3 linked regions of the Sus scrofa genome follow. The protein of the gene in region 1 interacts with the protein of each later gene in a biochemical or structural test. Links are inferred from orthologs where the notes say so. Each region holds a gene or a part of one and is shown in the gene's direction. Other genes may lie near its edges. The genes, in order: RNF7, UBE2C and UBE2F.

Region 1 (5,968 bases):
GGCTAGTGTCAGGTGGAAAGGGGGATCTAAGCAGATTAAACAGGCACTTTAGATTGAATGGGGAGGCCAGACAAGAAGTCAGGACACAATAAGCCAGGAACAGAGTGAAGAGGTTCAGATGAGGCATAAGCATGTACCATTCCTTGTCCCCTTCTTTTTTGGCCACACCCAGGGCATGCAGAAGGGACAGGGATTGAACATACTACAGCTGTAACCTGAGCCAGAGCAGTGACAATGCCAGGTCCTTAACCCACTGAGCCATGAGAGGGAACTCCTACCATTTCTCATTCTTAATCATCCTCTAGCCTTTCATCTGAGTTCCCTCCTTTTCTCTTTCAAACTGCCCAGTTCCCCCCAACTGGGGGCATTTTATCCTCATCTGGTTCTAGCCTTCTTTTTTAAATTAACTATCTGGCATTTATAGCATCTCTAGTCAGATGTGTGGTAGCTTAATGTGAGTAAAATGTGTGTCCTTTATGGTTCATCTGGGTTTGTTTACAGGCATTTTTGTCTGGCTCATAAACTTAGTGGGGTCAACTTTACATCTGCCACCACTACTACTGCTCTGTTCAACCTGACAGCCTTGCAGAGGTTTGCTTTCTCCACCCACTTCCGGGCCTCCGATGCCTCCCATCTTCCCCCAGTTCAAACGTCACCTCTTCCATCAGCATCTAGCCAAATGTGACCCAAATGTATCCACATTTATATTTTCACACATATATGCTTCCTTGCCTCCTCCGCCAGATTTCTGGAGCTTCTAGCCCCCATCCAGACATCAGGAGAGGAGGGGATGAGGCCCAGTAGGAAAAGGTGGGAGGCTCTGAATTCCAAACCCGACACAGCAGGTGTCCACCACTAGGTGGTAGTGGTGATCAGGCATCTTCGTGGGCTCTCCATACCACAGCTTTCTTATTTAAATAGAGATGTTATCTGCTTTGCTTGGGAAAACATAATAATATGACCCCGGGCTAGATGCAGAAGAACCCTGGATTCAAAACAGTTACCTTTAGGGAATAATGGTGTGTCTTTATCTTATTTTTCTGGACCTCAACATTCCTATCAATAAAAGGAGGATGTTGGACTAGATAGAGGTTCTCAGAGTGTGGTCCCCGGGGGTTCCTGGGATCCTTTCAGGGGAAACAAGGTCAAAAGTATTTGCATAACAATATTCACCGCTATTTCTCTTCACTTTCTCCTGTGAGTATACAGTGGAGTTTTATAAAAGCTACAAGATATGTGATATCCTTGTTCTAATGATTACTTGTAATGGGTTTATTGCTTTTCCTTGCGGGGGCGGGGGGTGGGGGCACACCTGTGGCATATGGAAGTTCCCAGGCTAGGGGCTGAATCGGATACAGCTACCAGCCTACACCACAGCTCACAACAACACCGATCCACTGAGCAAGGCCAGGGATTGAACCTGCATTCTCATGTATACTAGATACTAGTCGGGTTCCTCATCGCTTAACCACAACAGGAACTCCTATGGTTATTTTTTAAGTGAATACATTAAAATTTTTTTCGTATTTCTTAAAAAAAAAGTGTGTGTTTGTGTGTACACATATTTTACAAACCGAAAGTTCTTTAATGTTCCAGTGATTCTTAAGTGTAAAGGGGTGCCAAGACCAAAAAGTTTGAGAACGGCTGAACCAGATTTCTAAAAGATAGTCATTCATTCACTCAACAAATAACTACCCCTCCTGAGGCCAGGCATTTTTCACATACCCAGGAGAAGGTGGTGATCAAGTCACGTCCTCGCTCCGATGGCGTTTTCATTTAGGAAGGGAGTACATCAATATGACAACTTGTGAGAGCCAGAAGGGTCACGAAGGCATAAAGCAGAACACCTGCTTCCTGCACCGGCAACCCTCCTGAGCGCGGCGCCCATTCTTGGCCAAAGAGTCGGAGCGGGCCGGGCCCAGGGCGCGGGGGCGGTGACGTCACTGGGACGCGCCAGCCAGTCTCGGGCGGCCTCCGTCGTAGGCCCCACGGTGGCCCGCAGCCTGCGGGCGGCGCTGTGGCCCGGCGAGGGGCCCCAGGGAGCCGCCATAGTCGCCCGCCTTCCGCAACCTAACGTCTCCGCCGCCGGCTTCGCGCCGCCGCCATGGCAGACGTGGAAGACGGCGAGGAGCCCTGCGCCCTGTCCTCTCACTCCGGTAGCTCAGGAACCAAGTCGGGAGGCGACAAGATGTTCTCTCTGAAGAAGTGGAACGCGGTGGCCATGTGGAGCTGGGACGTGGAGTGCGATACGTGCGCCATCTGCAGGGTCCAGGTGATGGGTAAGCGCTGCACTCGAGACCCTGGCTGTGCTGCGGCCTCCGCGGGCCCAGCTCCGGCCCGTGGGACACACCGAGCCTCGGAGAGACTGTTCCTGGAGGTATAGGGGCGGGGTCGCCCTGCCTGGGAGCGAAAGACTGGGGCCACGCCCGTGCTGCTGCTAGTCGGAGGGCTGCGGCCGGCGACGGGGACTGGTAGTCTGGGGAACGAAACAGGTGGAAAGCAGGGCAGTTAAAAAGGTAATTTCAGGTAGTGATGGGTGTGGTCAAGACAATAAAAGTAGGTGAGTTGATGGGAGCTGCGAGGCACCACTTTGGTTTGTGGGCCCAACCTCGCCACCCTTTTCTAAAAGCAAACTGTAGAGGTCACGGTCAAGGCCCTGAGTCAGCGGGTCGTTTTAATGCTTCTTTTCACACACCAGAGTGATGCTCTGGAGTCATCTTCCACAGTAATGACTCTTAGTCTTGTTCCGGAGAGGCGCAGGAAAGAAGTGTCCCTAGCTGTTGCCTTTCGGGATTAGCTACTGTTCTGCTGGCTTTAAAACTTGGATGATTCAAGACTGGTCAGATGGCAGTAGCTTGTCTTGAAGAAGAATGTTAAGCCCTTTATTCAGAAACATAAATTTTAATCTCATTCCTGGCCCTACGCTATCAAAGGATGCCATTTCCTGGAGAAGACAGTGTCCTGATAGGCCTTTGTGGAGAATTTTCTTTTACAAATAAGTCACTTCTTTCTATAAATTTTTTTAAAAATATTGGACCAAGTGAAACCTTTCGGGACAGCTTCATCCTGTTATATTTTATATGGTTTCTGTTCTAAGATCTCAGAACACCTTGAAAAAGAGATGCTGTTTAAATGCATCCTTATTTTTTTTAATAGGGCATTTAAAATCACTGTGAGAGCATCTTAAATGAAACCGAGGTTTCTATAGTTTGAAAGCTTTTACATCTTAAACCGAAAAATCAGAGTTTTGGAGAAAATAACTCAAAAATTGCTCTCAAATCAACTATAAGGAGTTCCCTTCGTGGCGCAGCAGAAATGAATCCGACTAGGAACCAAATCAACTATAAAAGAAAAAATAAAATCTAAAAAAAAAAAAAAAATCACTCTCCCTTCTTGAGGAATGAAAATTCAGAACTGCCAGAATCAAGAGGTTTCTTCATTTACCCTCTCTGTAGTATGTTTTCTTGTTTTTTATTCATAAAATAAGGACTCATTTTAAAAGCAGATTTACAACAATGAGATATCATATATTTATTTTTTTACTTTTAAAAGAATTTTATTTCAGACATGATCCACGTGTTTTGCATATTAGGTTTTAAAAATACCTTGTTTATTGGCCTGCAATACAGCCCCCTTACCCTACTCCTTACTTAAAAACTGAAATCATAATTTCTGCTTTGAGTGGCATTTTTGACTTATCCAAACAATTTTTGTTCTTTTATGAGAAAAAACTTTGTTAAAAATTTTATCCCCTAAGTGATTAAAAAAAGAGGTTTTTCTGAAAGGTTATTTTCTTCTTCTCCCCAGGGAAAAATTTTAAATTTGTAAATAGAAATGCAGAGTTTTAAATAATGGTTGAAATTTGGCAGCAAATAAACCTTCCTGGTCAAAGTATGGGCTCTAAATGACTTAACAGGCACATTAACTTTCTAATTATAGCAAGTATTCCGCTACTGTGGATTAATGTTGCAGATTTACAACAGCTGTACTTTGGATTCAGGAAAGTATTCTGGACTAGACCTCTATATTTTGATTATAAGGTGTTAAAATCCACTTAGTGGTCAGGTGACGGCAGAAGGAAGTTTTATAGACTTGCCAATCCTTAGGGTAGCGTCATTCTTAAAGGTGTTACTGTTATTGTACTCCTTAGAAATGTGCTGTTTTAGATATTAGGAATATCACCAAAGGAAAAATGTTTTCTTTTATCTGAAACTTTAGGAATTTTTATACATTTAGGTCAGTTGTTTTTTTTTTAAATAATTAAATCAAAGCTATAAGCATAATTCAGAGATTTTTAGATTCTACAAAGAGCCTATCTAATCCCACTTCCTTAATATTTGGAATTCAGAATTCATCTCATACATCTAAATGATTTGTTATGACTTCTTTTTTAAAAAAATTTATTGTAGTTGATTAAAAGTGTTTCAGGTGTACAGCAAAGTGATTCAAATACACACACACACACACTTTTTTTTTCAGATTCTTTTCCATTGTAGGTTATTTCAAAATTTTTATGACTTCTTGATCTAAGATTTACCTGTCCACCCATTCTGATGTAGTTAACACTTCCTTGTTTCCACTCTTCCCCACCCCCACCCCCTTCATTCTGAAAGGAGCAAATGACACAGTGAGCAAGCACTGACAAGGAAAAGGGGAATAGGTTTGCTAGTACTGTAGAGGTATAAAGAGCGAGAGCTGGAGTTCCCGTTGTGGCTCAGTGGTTAACGAATCTGACTAGGAACCATGAGGTTCGATCCCTGGCCTTGCTCAATGGGTTAAGGATCCAGTGTTGCTATGAGCTGTGGTGTAGGTCACAGATGCGGCTCGGATCCCGAGTTGCTGTGGCTCTGGTGTAGGCCAGTGGCTGCAGCTCCGATTAGACCCCTAGCCTGGGAACCTCCGTATTACACGGGAGCAACCCTAGAAAAGGTAAAAAAGACCAAAAAAAAAAAAAAACCGAGAGCTGCATGTTAACTGGGACATTTGACATAACCTTTTGGAGCCTTGTTTTCCCAATTTGTAAAAAAGGCAATTGGGGTCATTAACTGTAATTCTCTGATTGCACAGAATCAGGGCCTTGTCTTCACCCTGATATCATGATCCTTATATGTAGTTGTTTGCCTCTCTACCTCCCCATTTGCTGGTGAGAGCAGGGATCCAGACTCGATCATTTTGGTGTCCTGAGGGCATAACTCTTTGCACAGAGGAAATACTCAGTAATTGTGGAATTGAAGAAGTCGTCAGGAGATGTTGGTTGTTTGTAATCCACACTGAAGAGGCCAGGGTGGTGTGGTTTTTTAAGGGAAGACCATGCAGAGTGGTGCAAACAAATGCCTGAGCAAAATCTAATGTAAGAAGAGAAGCAGGCTTCAACTCCACTATTTCTATTTTTACAGAATTATTTTTCTCCAATTTATGTTTAAAACTTATTTTTTCTGTTGGTTTAAACTTCCTTTTACCCAGGTTTGACTCCTTTCAGCTAGTGAATGAATCCATTTAATTGGTTCTTACAATATTCTTTATTACCTCCATCAAGCAATTAATACTGACTGAATTTTGAAAACTTGTAGTATGCCCTTTTGTTCCCACTCCTCATATTTACTCCCAAGTAATTTATTAAAATACTTTACCATTAGGTAAATGCTTTGGCCTCAGACATATTTGTAAAGGGAGCATTTCCTTAAAAACTAAAAAAAGAGAACTAGGTATTTGGGAGTTTTTTTACATTTAATTTTCATATAGCATATAAAGGAGTTCCCACTCTGGCACAGTGGGTTAAGGATCTGGCATTGCCACAGCTGTAGGTCACAGCTGCAGCTTGGATTTGATCCCTGCCTTGGGAACTTCCATATGTTGCCAGTGCGGCCAAAAAAAAAAGACATAAGCTTATACAGTCACATAATTTAAAAATCTGAGAAAATATACAATTAAAAGTCCTTCCCATTTTATCCCTTCCCAGATAAACTTT
Region 2 (5,715 bases), on another chromosome or scaffold:
TCTATGCTATACTCTTTCAAAAAAGACATCAGGAAGCTTACCATTGACACATAATATAAATAAGAAAAAGGGAGAAAAGGAAAAGCAGGATCTAAAATAAGCCACAAACAAGACTGGTTTTAAAAAAGGAGGGTGGGGGTGGGGAATGGCATGGGATTACTTGCCAGCCTGGGAGACCAGTGCCCTTCTACAGGTTTTTACAAATTCAGCTCCAGGCCCCACTTAAGGACACCTGATCTGTTTCATAGTTCACAGTGCCCCTAAGATGAAGACAGTCGTATGACTCAGGGGACACACAATTACTCTTGACCCTCACACTGGAAAGAAATGTCTTCCACAGAAGACTTTCGCATGTGATCAACATCCCCCATGTGGTAAGAGCCCTCACAAGCGGGCTCCCTCCCCCTGCAGATGGCGGCCTGGGGCCAGAGCAGTTCTGCAGGCCCCAGGACAGCATAGCCCAGTTACTAGACAGTGTGGTTTATCGTGTTTTCCCTTTTGCCATGAAGTTCAAAACCAAATTATCTTCATTCAAGAGTTCACACGTGGCTTCCTCCTGACTTCCTGTTTCCATGTTTATTTTGCTAGCTCTGTGGCTCTTTCACTGTAAGCCACCCCATGGCCCTTTTTTAAAGAGGTGACAGCCAAAAATAAGTCAGTAATCCCCACTCTCCGGCCCATAAATTAGTCTCTACTTGAAAGAAAAATTATCTCAAGAAACTATTCCCCAGACAGCCTCTCCCTTCTTGCTCTCCCTTGCTAAATTACAAGCTATGACTCCACTCCTCCCTTCTAGCCCTTACCTTAAGCAGACGTTTAATAAAGTGTTAATTGAGTTGGAATGAAACGAATCATAGGCAGTGACCACTCTCCTTTGTTCCTGCCCCAGGCCTACCTCCTCATTGAGGAGGACATCCGGGACCTCGCTGCCAGCGATGACTACAGGTAAAACCAGCGGTCTGTCCCCTACCCTTCCCCCTGCCTCACAGTAGCCCCTGGGATGAGCCTGGACCTACATCTTCCCTTGCTCCAACTCTCCTCTTCAATGTCTGTCCCAGAGGATGCCTGGACCTGAAGTTAGAGGAGCTGAAGTCCTTTGTCCTACCCTCCTGGATGGTTGAGAAGATGCGAAAGTACATGGAGACACTACGGACAGAGAACGAGCACCGCGCTGTTGAAGCACCTCCACAGACCTGAAGCCAGGTCCCCTGGCTACACTTGGCAGCCCTCCTTTAAGGCCCTCTTACCCACATGGCTGAGGTCACTGCTGGGACTGCTTCTAGATGGATCTCAGCAGCATTAAGCTATGCCTGGGCTAGTTTGTAGTGACTCACTGCAGAGCACCCCCAGACTGGCATGTGGTTCTATATTTGTAAAGTTTTTGGGATAAGAAGCAATTAAACAGTTTGTAATAAACACAGATGGTGAGCCTGCTGTGAAGTCTGCCTCTGGGGGCTGACAAAATATCAAGGGCTCTCCCTAGAGGAAGTGGGTGTAGGGAATAAAGGCCCAAGCACCCCTCCCCCATCCCAGGAAGCCCAGTGGCCTGTGCGTATCTGCTCCGTGAGAAACTGGGAACAGCCTGTACCTTGCTGCCAGCCTTTCCTGTCCCTGTTTATCTCCTCACCCAACTAAGGCATGGGAGTAGCAGAATGTGACGGCTGGGATCATGGACATTTGATGACAAACCAGCAGGAAAATGTAAGGCGGCTTTTATTACCCCCGTTTTAAGGTTAAAACACGAAATTAAGTGCCTAGGGTAGCACAGGAAGCCGTTGGAGAGGCCACCGTTGAACCTGTTTTCCAGTAGGGGGTCTCTGGCTCTGGCCCTCGGCCACTAGTTTTTACCCTCGCCTGACGGTTCAGACCCTTAAGGCCCTAACCAAAGTGCCCAGGACATTAATAACAAGTGGAGGAGCTGGGGTATCCGGTTTGGGGGATAAGTACCAGGGCCCCGAAATCGGAGACCCTCCCTTCTGCGAGCAGGGAGTCCTAAGCCGGCGTGCGGTAGTAGCCAAGGGATTCATCCCACGTGGATGTCTTCTAGGCCATTTAATGGTCGGCGTTTTCCAAAGGCCACCAATCCACTACAGATTCGTTAGTTAATGACAGCCTCTCTTACCAATCGCCCATCTGAAGAGGGATCCAGCCGCCCAATAGTGGTGCGCTGGTGGGTGGATGCAGCAGTGACAGAGCGCCCCATTGGCTGGATTAAACCCAAGCGAGCCACTGATTGGCCGGCACCTCCGGAGGGTTACAATTCAAACGCGGGCGGGCGGGACCGCGGCCCTGCAGTTGCAGCCGTGGTCTCCGGATACCCTGAGATCCTGTCTCCCTCCCAGCGCTGCCCAGATGGCTTCCCAGAACCGCGACCCAGCCGCCGCCAGTTTCGCGGCCGCCCGTAAAGGAGCCGAGCCCAGCGGGGGTGCCGCTCGGGGCCCCGTGGGCAAGAGGTGAGTGGTGCCGAGGGAACACTTGCCGGGCCTGGCACGCCCTAGGCATTTGAAGCCCAGAGCAAAGACTTCCGGGGACCCCCACATTCTCCTGGAGCAGCTGAGGTATGAGAGGTAGAGGTACACGCCAGGAGATCGCCTACTTCTGAAGGACGACAGAAGGGGTAGGGATGCTGCCAGGATCCTCCGTGGATGAGCCAAGATGAAGATGCCCTGGGGACCCTCTGTGGCTTGGCTGGAGGGCGGCGGGGAAGGGGGCTAGAAGGTGAGAAATTGAGATCCTGCACAGAGAGAGACGCCAGAGAAGCAGAATTAGGGGTTAAGAATAAGCCAGAGCTCTCCTTCCGGGAGCCTGGCATTAGGAAGGGTGTGGACTCACTAAGACCCCCCTGTGGAAATGGGGGTGACCATGCCCACAGCTAAGTCCGACCTCAGGGTAGAGGGAAACCTCCGTGACAGCTGCTCCAGAGAGATTGGGATGGGAAGAGATGCACCTCCTGGAGCCCTGGACTCTCAGATGACCCCCAGATGCTCTTTTCACAGGCTACAGCAGGAACTGATGACCCTCATGGTAAGTGACTGGTGCCCGGATACCCAACCAGTTGGTCTCCCCTCCCACCTCCCAGTCACTTATCAGTAGCCTCCTTTCCTAGCTCCGGCTCTTTGATAGGCATGGGGTAAAAAGATGAGTCCAGCTTGCTCTCCTCTGGGAAGAAGTTAACACACCCCACCTACACATCTTCCCCCCAGGCATCTTTACTCCCAGTCCCATCTTGCCACAAAGAAGTTATCCTTAAAGTACAGCTCTCTTACGAGGCCTTCCCTCTGTCCTTCCTGGCTCTACTTCCCTGTCCTAAAATTTACCTACACCCAACTCTTCATCCTAAATATTTCTAATCCCATCCTACCTTGGAATGCTTCCTTCGGGCCAGTCTTTTCTACATTAACCCTGGATATTCAACTCAAATCCTTCAGTGCCCACGCTGTTTATCTTCCCAGCCTGTGAATAGTCTCTGGGCTTTGTGTCCAACCAGCACTCAATGGCATGTCAAATTGAATTCCCAGCAACCAGCAAAATTGTGGATACAAAGCTGCCTTCTTCTTCCCCCACACAACCCCTCCCTCTTAGGCTGGTGATAAACCTAATCCCAGTCCTCCCGGGGGGCACATTCAGCCCCCAGGATCTCCCCACTTCCTCAGAAGAGCCTATCAATCAATTTGGCCTGGTTGCTCCATTCTGGGTCCAGATGTGATGAGGTTAAGGGGCAGGGGCTCCCTCACCCACACCCTCCCCTGCAAGAGCACACTCACTCTTCAGCCCAGCAAGTGTTGTGTTTCTTCCCCAGATGTCTGGCGACAAAGGAATTTCTGCCTTCCCTGAGTCAGACAACCTTTTCAAATGGGTGGGGACCATCCATGGAGCAGCCGGCACAGTAAGTGTAGGGGTCGGAGTAGGTGAGGGTGACTCTGCAGAGTCTGGGGAGAGGTGGGAGGTGAAATCCAGGTGCCAGTTCTGCGTTGAGTCTTCTCACCTGGTGGGACACTCCCCTGTGTCTTCCTGGAGCCCTGAGCCTGTGGCCCTGCTCTCCATCCGCGCAGTAAGGCGGGGTCTCCATCTTAGCTACTTCCAGGGGCCAGACGGCAAGGAAAAGAATGAAGGGCAATTGAGGGTTTAGGCCAGTGGGCCCTCGCCCAAAGGGTCGCAATGTCCCACCAGCTAGGCGGGAAGGCACCACCAGTTTAATGCTTTGTCTTCTGCCGAGTCCCAGACAAACTCGGGGGTCTTGACAAGCCCCTTACGTGGGGCCTGAGCTGGAACTGAGGCTCAGGCAAAGAGGCTTACTCCCCAGTCTCTCTCTCTCCAGGTATATGAAGACCTGAGGTATAAGCTCTCTCTGGAGTTCCCCAGCGGCTACCCTTACAACGCGCCCACAGTGAAGTTCCTCACGCCCTGCTACCACCCCAACGTGGACACCCAAGGAAACATCTGCCTGGACATCCTGAAAGACAAGTGGTCCGCCCTGTATGACGTCAGGACCATCCTGCTCTCCATCCAGAGCCTGCTCGGAGGTGACTGCGGAGACGGCCTCTCCCCCCCAACCTGGGAGCCTGTTCCCGGGTTGGACAGCCTCTTCTAGCCTCTTCTACCCCGACCTGACCTTGCTCTTTGTCTCCATCCACAGAACCCAACATCGATAGCCCTCTGAACACACATGCCGCCGAGCTCTGGAAAAACCCCACAGGTGGGTCCTTCATCCTTCTCAGGCACCGAGCCATCCCTCCCCAACCATCAAAGGCTCCCCCCAGCTACTGAAGGATTCCAGTGACTTGGGAATGTGTCTGGATGACTGGGGGGTGGGGGGGGTTCAACCAGGTAACCCAGTTCCACCTCTGCCTTGGTGTTTCTGGTTTGCCTGTTTGCTATAAAATCAGAATTTGTCGCATTCATGTAGGTTGAGGGGCTTTTTCAGTAGAAGGCAAAGCTTTGTGCGAACAACTTGCTTGCTGAGGGCCCCAAGTCTCCTCCCCAGCTGGGTGGGCAGCCGGGGGACAGTTCTGTTGGGCTGGGAAACCCTTCCCCAACCCCCCAAACTCCTCCCACAGCTGTATCCTTGCTGCCCTCTTGCCAACCTTAACCCTTGTGCCCATGGCTTACTGAGACCTCCTCGTTCTCTTCCAGCCTTTAAGAAGTACCTGCAGGAAACCTACTCCAAGCAGGTCTCCAGCCAGGAGCCCTGACCCAGGCTGTCCAGCTCTCTCCCTGTGTTGTCTTTTTTTATTATTTTTCCTTAGATGGTCTGTCCTTTCCTTGATTTCTGTACAGGACTCTGTACCTTATCTGTGTATACCTTATCTGTGCTGTCATTTTTGTTTCTGTTTTTTTAAATTAAGTGTCCGGCTAAGCCCTTGTGATGAATATATTAAATAAATACATTTGGGGGTTTTTAAACAAGTTATGTCCCCTAGTCACCCTAGGGTTGGAAGTGCTCAGGCTCTGCAGAGGTCGGGCTTAGGGTCTGGGTTCTGGCCCTGCTCCTCTACCCAGGGTGTAGGAGCAGCTGAGAGGCTGGAGGGCTGAGCAGTGGGGTCATAGAATTCGTCCCCTGTGACTTTGGTTATTTTATGACTCTGCATCTGTTTCCTCATCTGTAAGATGGGCGTCGCAAAATGCCGATTTCTATGGAGGGGGGACACCAGGAGGATTGGTTAATTTAGGGACAGTCCCAGTTGCAGATGAGGCTGAACCAGACCTTCAGCTGAA
Region 3 (5,982 bases), on another chromosome or scaffold:
TCGTTACTGGGTCCAAGCTCGTGCTGCTTGCTGCACAGCAGGCTAATAAATCAAGACTTGAGTTGCTGGGGCAAAGAAGAGCAACTTGACTCAGAAGGGCAGCGGACTGAGACGACGGTGGACAAGTGTCGCAAGAACCACCTTCCCGGAGTTAGAATTCAGGCTTCTTTTATACTAAAAGGGGAGGGGTTCTCTTATAGTAAAAAGTCCTGGTTCTGTCAGACTCTGGAGGGGTCTCTTAATTTCTTCCTGCCTGCAGCCATTCACAGGTGGGCCTGGTCAGAGGTTTCCTCGGAAGGAAACAAAGGCATTTGAGTGCGATGCTCATTGCTGGGAGGCGAGGTCCCCAGAGATGGGCCATTGTGTATAATTTAAGCTTATAGGCACCATGCCTTTACTGATTAACTTGTAACAGAATACAAAGGTTCTTCCCTATCGTAGGCCCACAATTGGTCCTCTTCCCCCTCCTCCTGTATGTATGGGCTTACACACACACACACACACACACACACACACACACACACACACACACACACACACACACACACACACACACACACACACACACACACACACACACACACACACACACACACACACACACACACACACACACACACACACACACACACACACACACACACACACACACACACACACACACACACACACGGTGAGCACATGATCTGAACCCAGCCATTCTCTCCCAGAGAATGTGAAACTGGAAGGGAAGAGACGGCCCCTCTATGGCCTGGTTTATAAAGGTGTGTTTGAAGCCAGACCCCAGTTCTGGAGGCATCTGGGAGGAGAAGGCCAGCCCCGCCACTGCCCCTGTCCCAGGCCAAGACCCAGATGGAGGCACTGAGAGCTGGAGGCCAGGCTCCCCGTTCTCTCCTTAGAGTCTCTGAGCATGTCTAGTCTTCTGAATCTTTTGTGCTTAAGCCAGTGAAAGTTCTGTTTCTGAAAGAGCCCTGGTTGAAAACAAATTGCTTCTCCAGGAAGCAGGACGCCAACTCTGCCGCAGTCCTGGCTGATGGCCGCACCTGCTGCCCAAGGGACGTGGTGCACTGGTTGAGGGCAAATCCCAGCTCTGCCATGTCGGGCAGACACGTAACTTCTGAGCTTCCTCATCTGTAAGGTGGAGATAATAAAATACCCGTTTCATGAGGTTGCTGTGAGGATTACAGGACTTCCGAGCCTAGTAAACCCTAAATAAGGCTCGGGTGAAGGCACGAGGCAGCCTCATGAAATGGAGCTAGAAGCGGCTTCATTTGCCCACAGCAGTGAGAGGTGGGCCACTGTGGGCTCAGAACGGTGTGTAGACAATTCTCCTTAGTAAGACAAGCGCTCAAGCCAACCCACGTGTGCCTTCACTCGCTGCCCTGCTTCAAGGTCTTATCTTCTCTCGCCAGGACTCTGGCTACAAACACGCAGCCCTTATCCAGCAATGTGTTTTGACCCGGTTATGTACCAGGTTTGGGGAGGAGGTTAGAAGGGTGGGAAACACAGATGAGGAGGCCTGAGGAGCTGAGCATAGGGAAACGGGCATCAACAGTCTTGAGCACCAGGGAGAGGAGAGCACGGAGGTCCAGCAAAGTCACAGAGGGGCACCTGCACCTTACCACTCGGAGCAGGTGGATCCAAGCATGGGAAAATTTAGGAGGTAGCCCAGTGAAGATGGACGAAGCTGTTCCCAGACAGAAGGAATCCCATGAATTTTGTTCTTAACTGGTCTTCCTGACTCTTGTCTGGCTCCCCTCCCACCAGCTCCCTCAGAGCCAGAAGGCTCTTTTGGAAAAGAAACTTGAAATTGCCACTCCACTGTTTAAAACCTCTCAGTGGGACTTCTGGAAATAAAATTCTAACTCCTTGCCTCTTTCTTCCCCGTCCACGAGGTGAACCTCTTCTCTCAGATGGCTCACTCCTCCAGGAGGCTGGCGACCCCCGCCAGAGCACCTATTAACCAGACACACCTGAACTTGAGAATAATTAGTACTCAGCAAACCAGAAATTAGAACAACTTGAAATGGATTTTTTTAAAGTAAGTACGTCACGGAAGTGTAAGAGATAATAGAAGGAATAAACCCTAAGACAACAGGAAAGAGCCCACCCACTCCACTGCAGGCTCCCCGAGGCTTCCCGGGGTTGGGGGTTGGTGGCTGCAGGTCTAATCGCCCCGCCCCCCTCACTCCTGACACCGCGGACTGTGGGGCGGCCTGGTCCTCTGCACCCTGAGCCCTGGGATGGGCACATAGCGGGCACCCCATCCACCGGGGCAGTCAGTTCGGACCTGGCAGCCCCAGCAGGCCACGCTGCGCGGGGAACCTCTGAGCCGCAGGCCCAGGCCTACCAAACGACCAAATGAATGAAAGCAGGAACGCAGCGCAAAGGAACCCGCGCCGCTGCGGAAAGGACTTGGAGATCCCGCCCCCGGACGCCATTGGCCAATCATCGGAGGCCTTCAGGCTCGTGCCCGCCCCCCAGCCGCGCTCCTTGCCAATGAGAGGGGCCGGATCTGCCGGCTGCCTACCCCGGCCCCGGCCCGCTGGCTCTGCTGTTCGCGTGTCAGTCTCTAAATAAAGTTCTTCGCGGCTTTGAATTTTTTTTTTAAAGCGCCAGCTGCTGTTGCGGCCGCCGCGGGCGAGAGCGGCAGAGTCCCCGCCCCGCTACTTCCGGTCCCGCCGCCCGGAGCCGGTGCTGCTGTGAGGGGCTGCGCTTCGCCGCCGCCGGCCGGCCGGGCATGGTGTTGGGCGCCGGTCCCGCCTCGCCTGTCTCCGGGTGCCCAGGTGAGGAGCGCGCGGCCCTGCGGCGAGCGAGGGGCGGCCGCCGGCCAGAGGACGGCTCGGTTCCCGCGGCGCCGGTGCACCCGGCGGGCGGGCGGCGCCGGGGCCGCCTCAGGCCGCGCCGCTCCTCACGACCGGGCGCCGGGGCCCGAGGGCCGGTGGGCGGGCGCTGCGGGGCGCGGGCCGGGGCGCGGGCCGCGGCGGGGCTGGAGGGCCGGCCCTCCCGGAGCCCCGACCTGTGCCGGGCACACACGGCCTCGCTTGTGGCCGCCGTCGCGGGGGAGCTGCGGCCGCATTGTCGGGGAGGAAGCGCAGCGCCCAGCGGGCCCAAGGTCACCGGCCCGACGTGGCCGGAGGCAGCGGGAGTCGGGCGCGGGCGGGCGGCCTCCCGGCCTCCCGGGGAATCGGGCTAGGCCAGGGGGCGGTGCGGGTGCGGAGGAGCCGGGCTCCCGCCCCGCCAACTTGCGGGCGGCCTCCGGACAACCCGGGGCAGCACGGCTAGGGTGGAGGATCTTGCCGGGGCCCAGAATGGGGGAGGACATCCTGGACCAATCCCTACGGCCCAGTCCCGGATTCTAGACCTGGTTCCGCTGGTGTGTAATCTTGGGTGTGGCCCTCGGCTCCCTGGGTCGCGGTTGCCTCTTCCTTCTGTCCCCGGAGCGGATCGGGCCCGCCCCTCTCTGCCTCCGTCCAGCGCCGGAGTGGGGTCGGGAGGGACTGGAGTGGCCAGAGAAGGCTTCGTGGAGGAGATGGAGGAGCCTGTTATCCTAAAGAAGCAGCATTAGGGGCGGCGAAGGGAGGGAGGGCCTTCCAGACCTGGATATCAGATTGAGCAGAAGCTTCCAGAAATGAGCCGGGGTTGGCGAGGAACACGGAGGAGGCCCACCTCCCTCGTGCAGAGGCCCCTGGCTGGGCAAGGGGGTGAAGGCAGGGGACCGGAATGGTGGGAGCCGTGTTCAGAGAGAGAGACCACGGCCACCTAGGTGGTCTGGACTTGAGGACCTCCACCCCCGACACAGCTGCCACTCAGGAGGCGGCAGGTTTACCGCTAAAATTAAAGGGCTGGGCTCCAAAGGTCACTGGGCAGCCAGCCACCTTGCCCTGGCGTTTTAAAGAGGGAGGGTGGGGTGTGGACTTTTGTGTGTCCCGATCTGGGCCGCTTTGGCTGGAGATGTGGGTTGTCCCCTAGTGACCTGCAGTTCCATCTTTTAAGCTTCGATTGGGACTTGTCCAGGGCAGGAAGAATTGTAAACGAGGAGTTCCCCACCCACTGAGCTGACGGTCACCCGGACCTGATTTGGCCACAACGGGCAGGAGCACTGAGTAAACACTTGAGGATGAGACTAGGAAATAGCACAGCAGAATCTCTGAACAGTCTGAGAGCACGTCCCGCCCAGAGGAAGAACTTAAATGGCCCGATTTCAACTAGTGGAGTTAGAGACTGTGGGTGCTCTTCTGTGTAGTTGATCTGTTGTTACTGAAAATGCTGCCCTCGTCAAAGTGTCATTTGCAGTGAAGGGGAAGCTTAGTTTTGAACCAGTCCTGCAAGGCGGGAAGCATAGTTAAGGAGAGACTTCTGAAGCAAACTGCAGGTGTTCCGTTAATTGACAGCTTGAATAATTATTTTTGTTCAGATCTCTTTGTATAGACTTAATTTAACAGCTGAAGTAGTCCCAGATTAGACCTTTGGTTTGTCCCGAAGTGGCGTGTGTGGGAGAGGGACAGGCGCTGGAGGATAGATGGTCCCCGTGTGTAGATGGCTTAGAATGTTAGGAAAATAAGTCTTGTCTTCCTGAGGAAAACAAAGCACCGGTGTTATTTTCTTCTGTCTTGCACAGCCAGTGCCCAGTGTATTTTATTAAGGGCCATAAACTTGTTGAGAGTTGCAAACCAGCAGTCTGACTCAAAATGGGATTGAGTATGGGGCACACTCTGCCTGCAGCGAAGAGTTCAGGATGGGGTAGTGAGGAGACGCGAATTAAGCAGGGACCTCCAACTGCAGCGACACGGAAGAGTGTCCGGGTGTGAGCCTTTGTGTGTGTGTGTGTGAGTCTTGCCGGGACCCTCTGAGCATCTCCTCCTGTGCAGGTGCTCAAGGAGCTGAGCGTGGACCAGTCGCGTGCCCTGGGACCCGCTTTCCCGCCGGGCCCCGTAGGAGGACTTTCCCGGGCTGCCGCCTGCCGAGCTCTCTCTACCGGTGCTGGGCTTTGTTGCTGGCCGTGTGCGTAGTGCCAGGGTCCGCTAGCGGCTGAAGACCAAGTGGACCTGTGACAGCTGCATCTCTCGGCCTATCATCAGGCGACGCATCCATGTGCTCAGGCGTGGGTGCGAGGCAGGGGCTTGCTGGGGGGGGGGACACACTGCTTGGGATCCAGACCTGCGCGAGGGATCGCGGGCCAGATGGTGCGGGTGGAGGCCGACCAGGAGCGCCCGGCTCCAGACGGTGCTGCGGCCTCTGGTGGCTTGTGGGCTGAGCCCCCACAGGCGTTCCTGGCTCCCCGGCGCCCTCCCTGGTGAGCTTCCTTTGTGAGCCCCTGGTTCCTGCCGCAGGTGAAGCTGAGCTGAGCGTTGGTGGTTTGGTCCTCCGTGTAGGTCCAGCTGAGGAGAGAGCGTGGCAGAGTGGGAGTGAAGAAACTGTCACGTCTCGTCACCTTGACTGAGGGACAGCTGAAGCACGCTGACCTGTACATATTTAAACATGCAGTTTGATCGGACTTTGGTGTGTGTATAGCCTGAAATCACCCCCTTGTTCGGGGCGGAAACATTCCCGTCATCCTCAGAGGGAAACGAGCGGGTCTGCGGTGACCTCTTGTAGCCTCTGAGTGGCCTCCGACAGCCCAGTTCCTGGGCCCCAGGTGTCCCAGGGTCCACACCCATGACAAAGAGTGGGATCTGGGGGAGAAGTCCTCCCCAGATTGGAAATTCTAGGAGCTTGTGAGCGCTCCTGTCAGGTGGAACTGTCTCTTGAAGCACTTAGACCAGGGGTGCATGAGGGGACCAGGCGTGTGTGTGTCTGTGCGTGGGTCCTGTGCAGTTAGTTCAAAAGGCCATATTTAATACGTTGTTTTCATGGTACACATAACAGAAAATGAAGTCCGACCGTCTTTAAGGGCTGGAGGGTACACAGAAGATGGTGTAAAAGCTCTGTGAGGACCTGGGTTAGAGTGGTTAAAAATACCAGTGGGAGTAGGTTACTCTC

The links.
Region 2: the proteins of RNF7 (region 1) and UBE2C form a complex in vitro, tested with the Homo sapiens proteins (4 studies listed by BioGRID). The link is inferred for Sus scrofa from reciprocal best matches to the Homo sapiens genes RNF7 and UBE2C.
Region 3: the proteins of RNF7 (region 1) and UBE2F form a complex in vitro, tested with the Homo sapiens proteins (10 studies listed by BioGRID, with this or other methods). The link is inferred for Sus scrofa from reciprocal best matches to the Homo sapiens genes RNF7 and UBE2F.

What each region holds. Positions count from the first base shown.
Region 1 is NC_010455.5:82,546,516-82,552,483, forward strand, and holds the start of RNF7 (RING-box protein 2), read left to right. Parts: upstream 1-1,959; 5' UTR 1,960-2,104; coding exon 2,105-2,279; intron 2,280-5,968. UniProt on the Homo sapiens protein: Catalytic component of multiple cullin-5-RING E3 ubiquitin-protein ligase complexes (ECS complexes), which mediate the ubiquitination and subsequent proteasomal degradation of target proteins.
Region 2 is NC_010459.5:48,016,137-48,021,851, forward strand, and holds UBE2C (ubiquitin-conjugating enzyme E2 C), read left to right. Parts: upstream 1-2,266; 5' UTR 2,267-2,352; coding exon 2,353-2,453; intron 2,454-2,996; coding exon 2,997-3,024; intron 3,025-3,799; coding exon 3,800-3,886; intron 3,887-4,318; coding exon 4,319-4,523; intron 4,524-4,636; coding exon 4,637-4,696; intron 4,697-5,133; coding exon 5,134-5,192; 3' UTR 5,193-5,406; downstream 5,407-5,715. Other genes in the region: DNTTIP1 (deoxynucleotidyltransferase terminal-interacting protein 1), read left to right, coding at 890-945, 1,059-1,197. UniProt on the Homo sapiens protein: Accepts ubiquitin from the E1 complex and catalyzes its covalent attachment to other proteins. In vitro catalyzes 'Lys-11'- and 'Lys-48'-linked polyubiquitination.
Region 3 is NC_010457.5:137,564,614-137,570,595, forward strand, and holds the start of UBE2F (NEDD8-conjugating enzyme UBE2F), read left to right. Parts: upstream 1-2,640; 5' UTR 2,641-2,786; intron 2,787-2,997; exon of another isoform or gene 2,998-3,376; intron 3,377-5,982. UniProt on the Homo sapiens protein: Accepts the ubiquitin-like protein NEDD8 from the UBA3-NAE1 E1 complex and catalyzes its covalent attachment to other proteins. Together with the E3 ubiquitin ligase RNF7/RBX2, specifically neddylates cullin-5 (CUL5).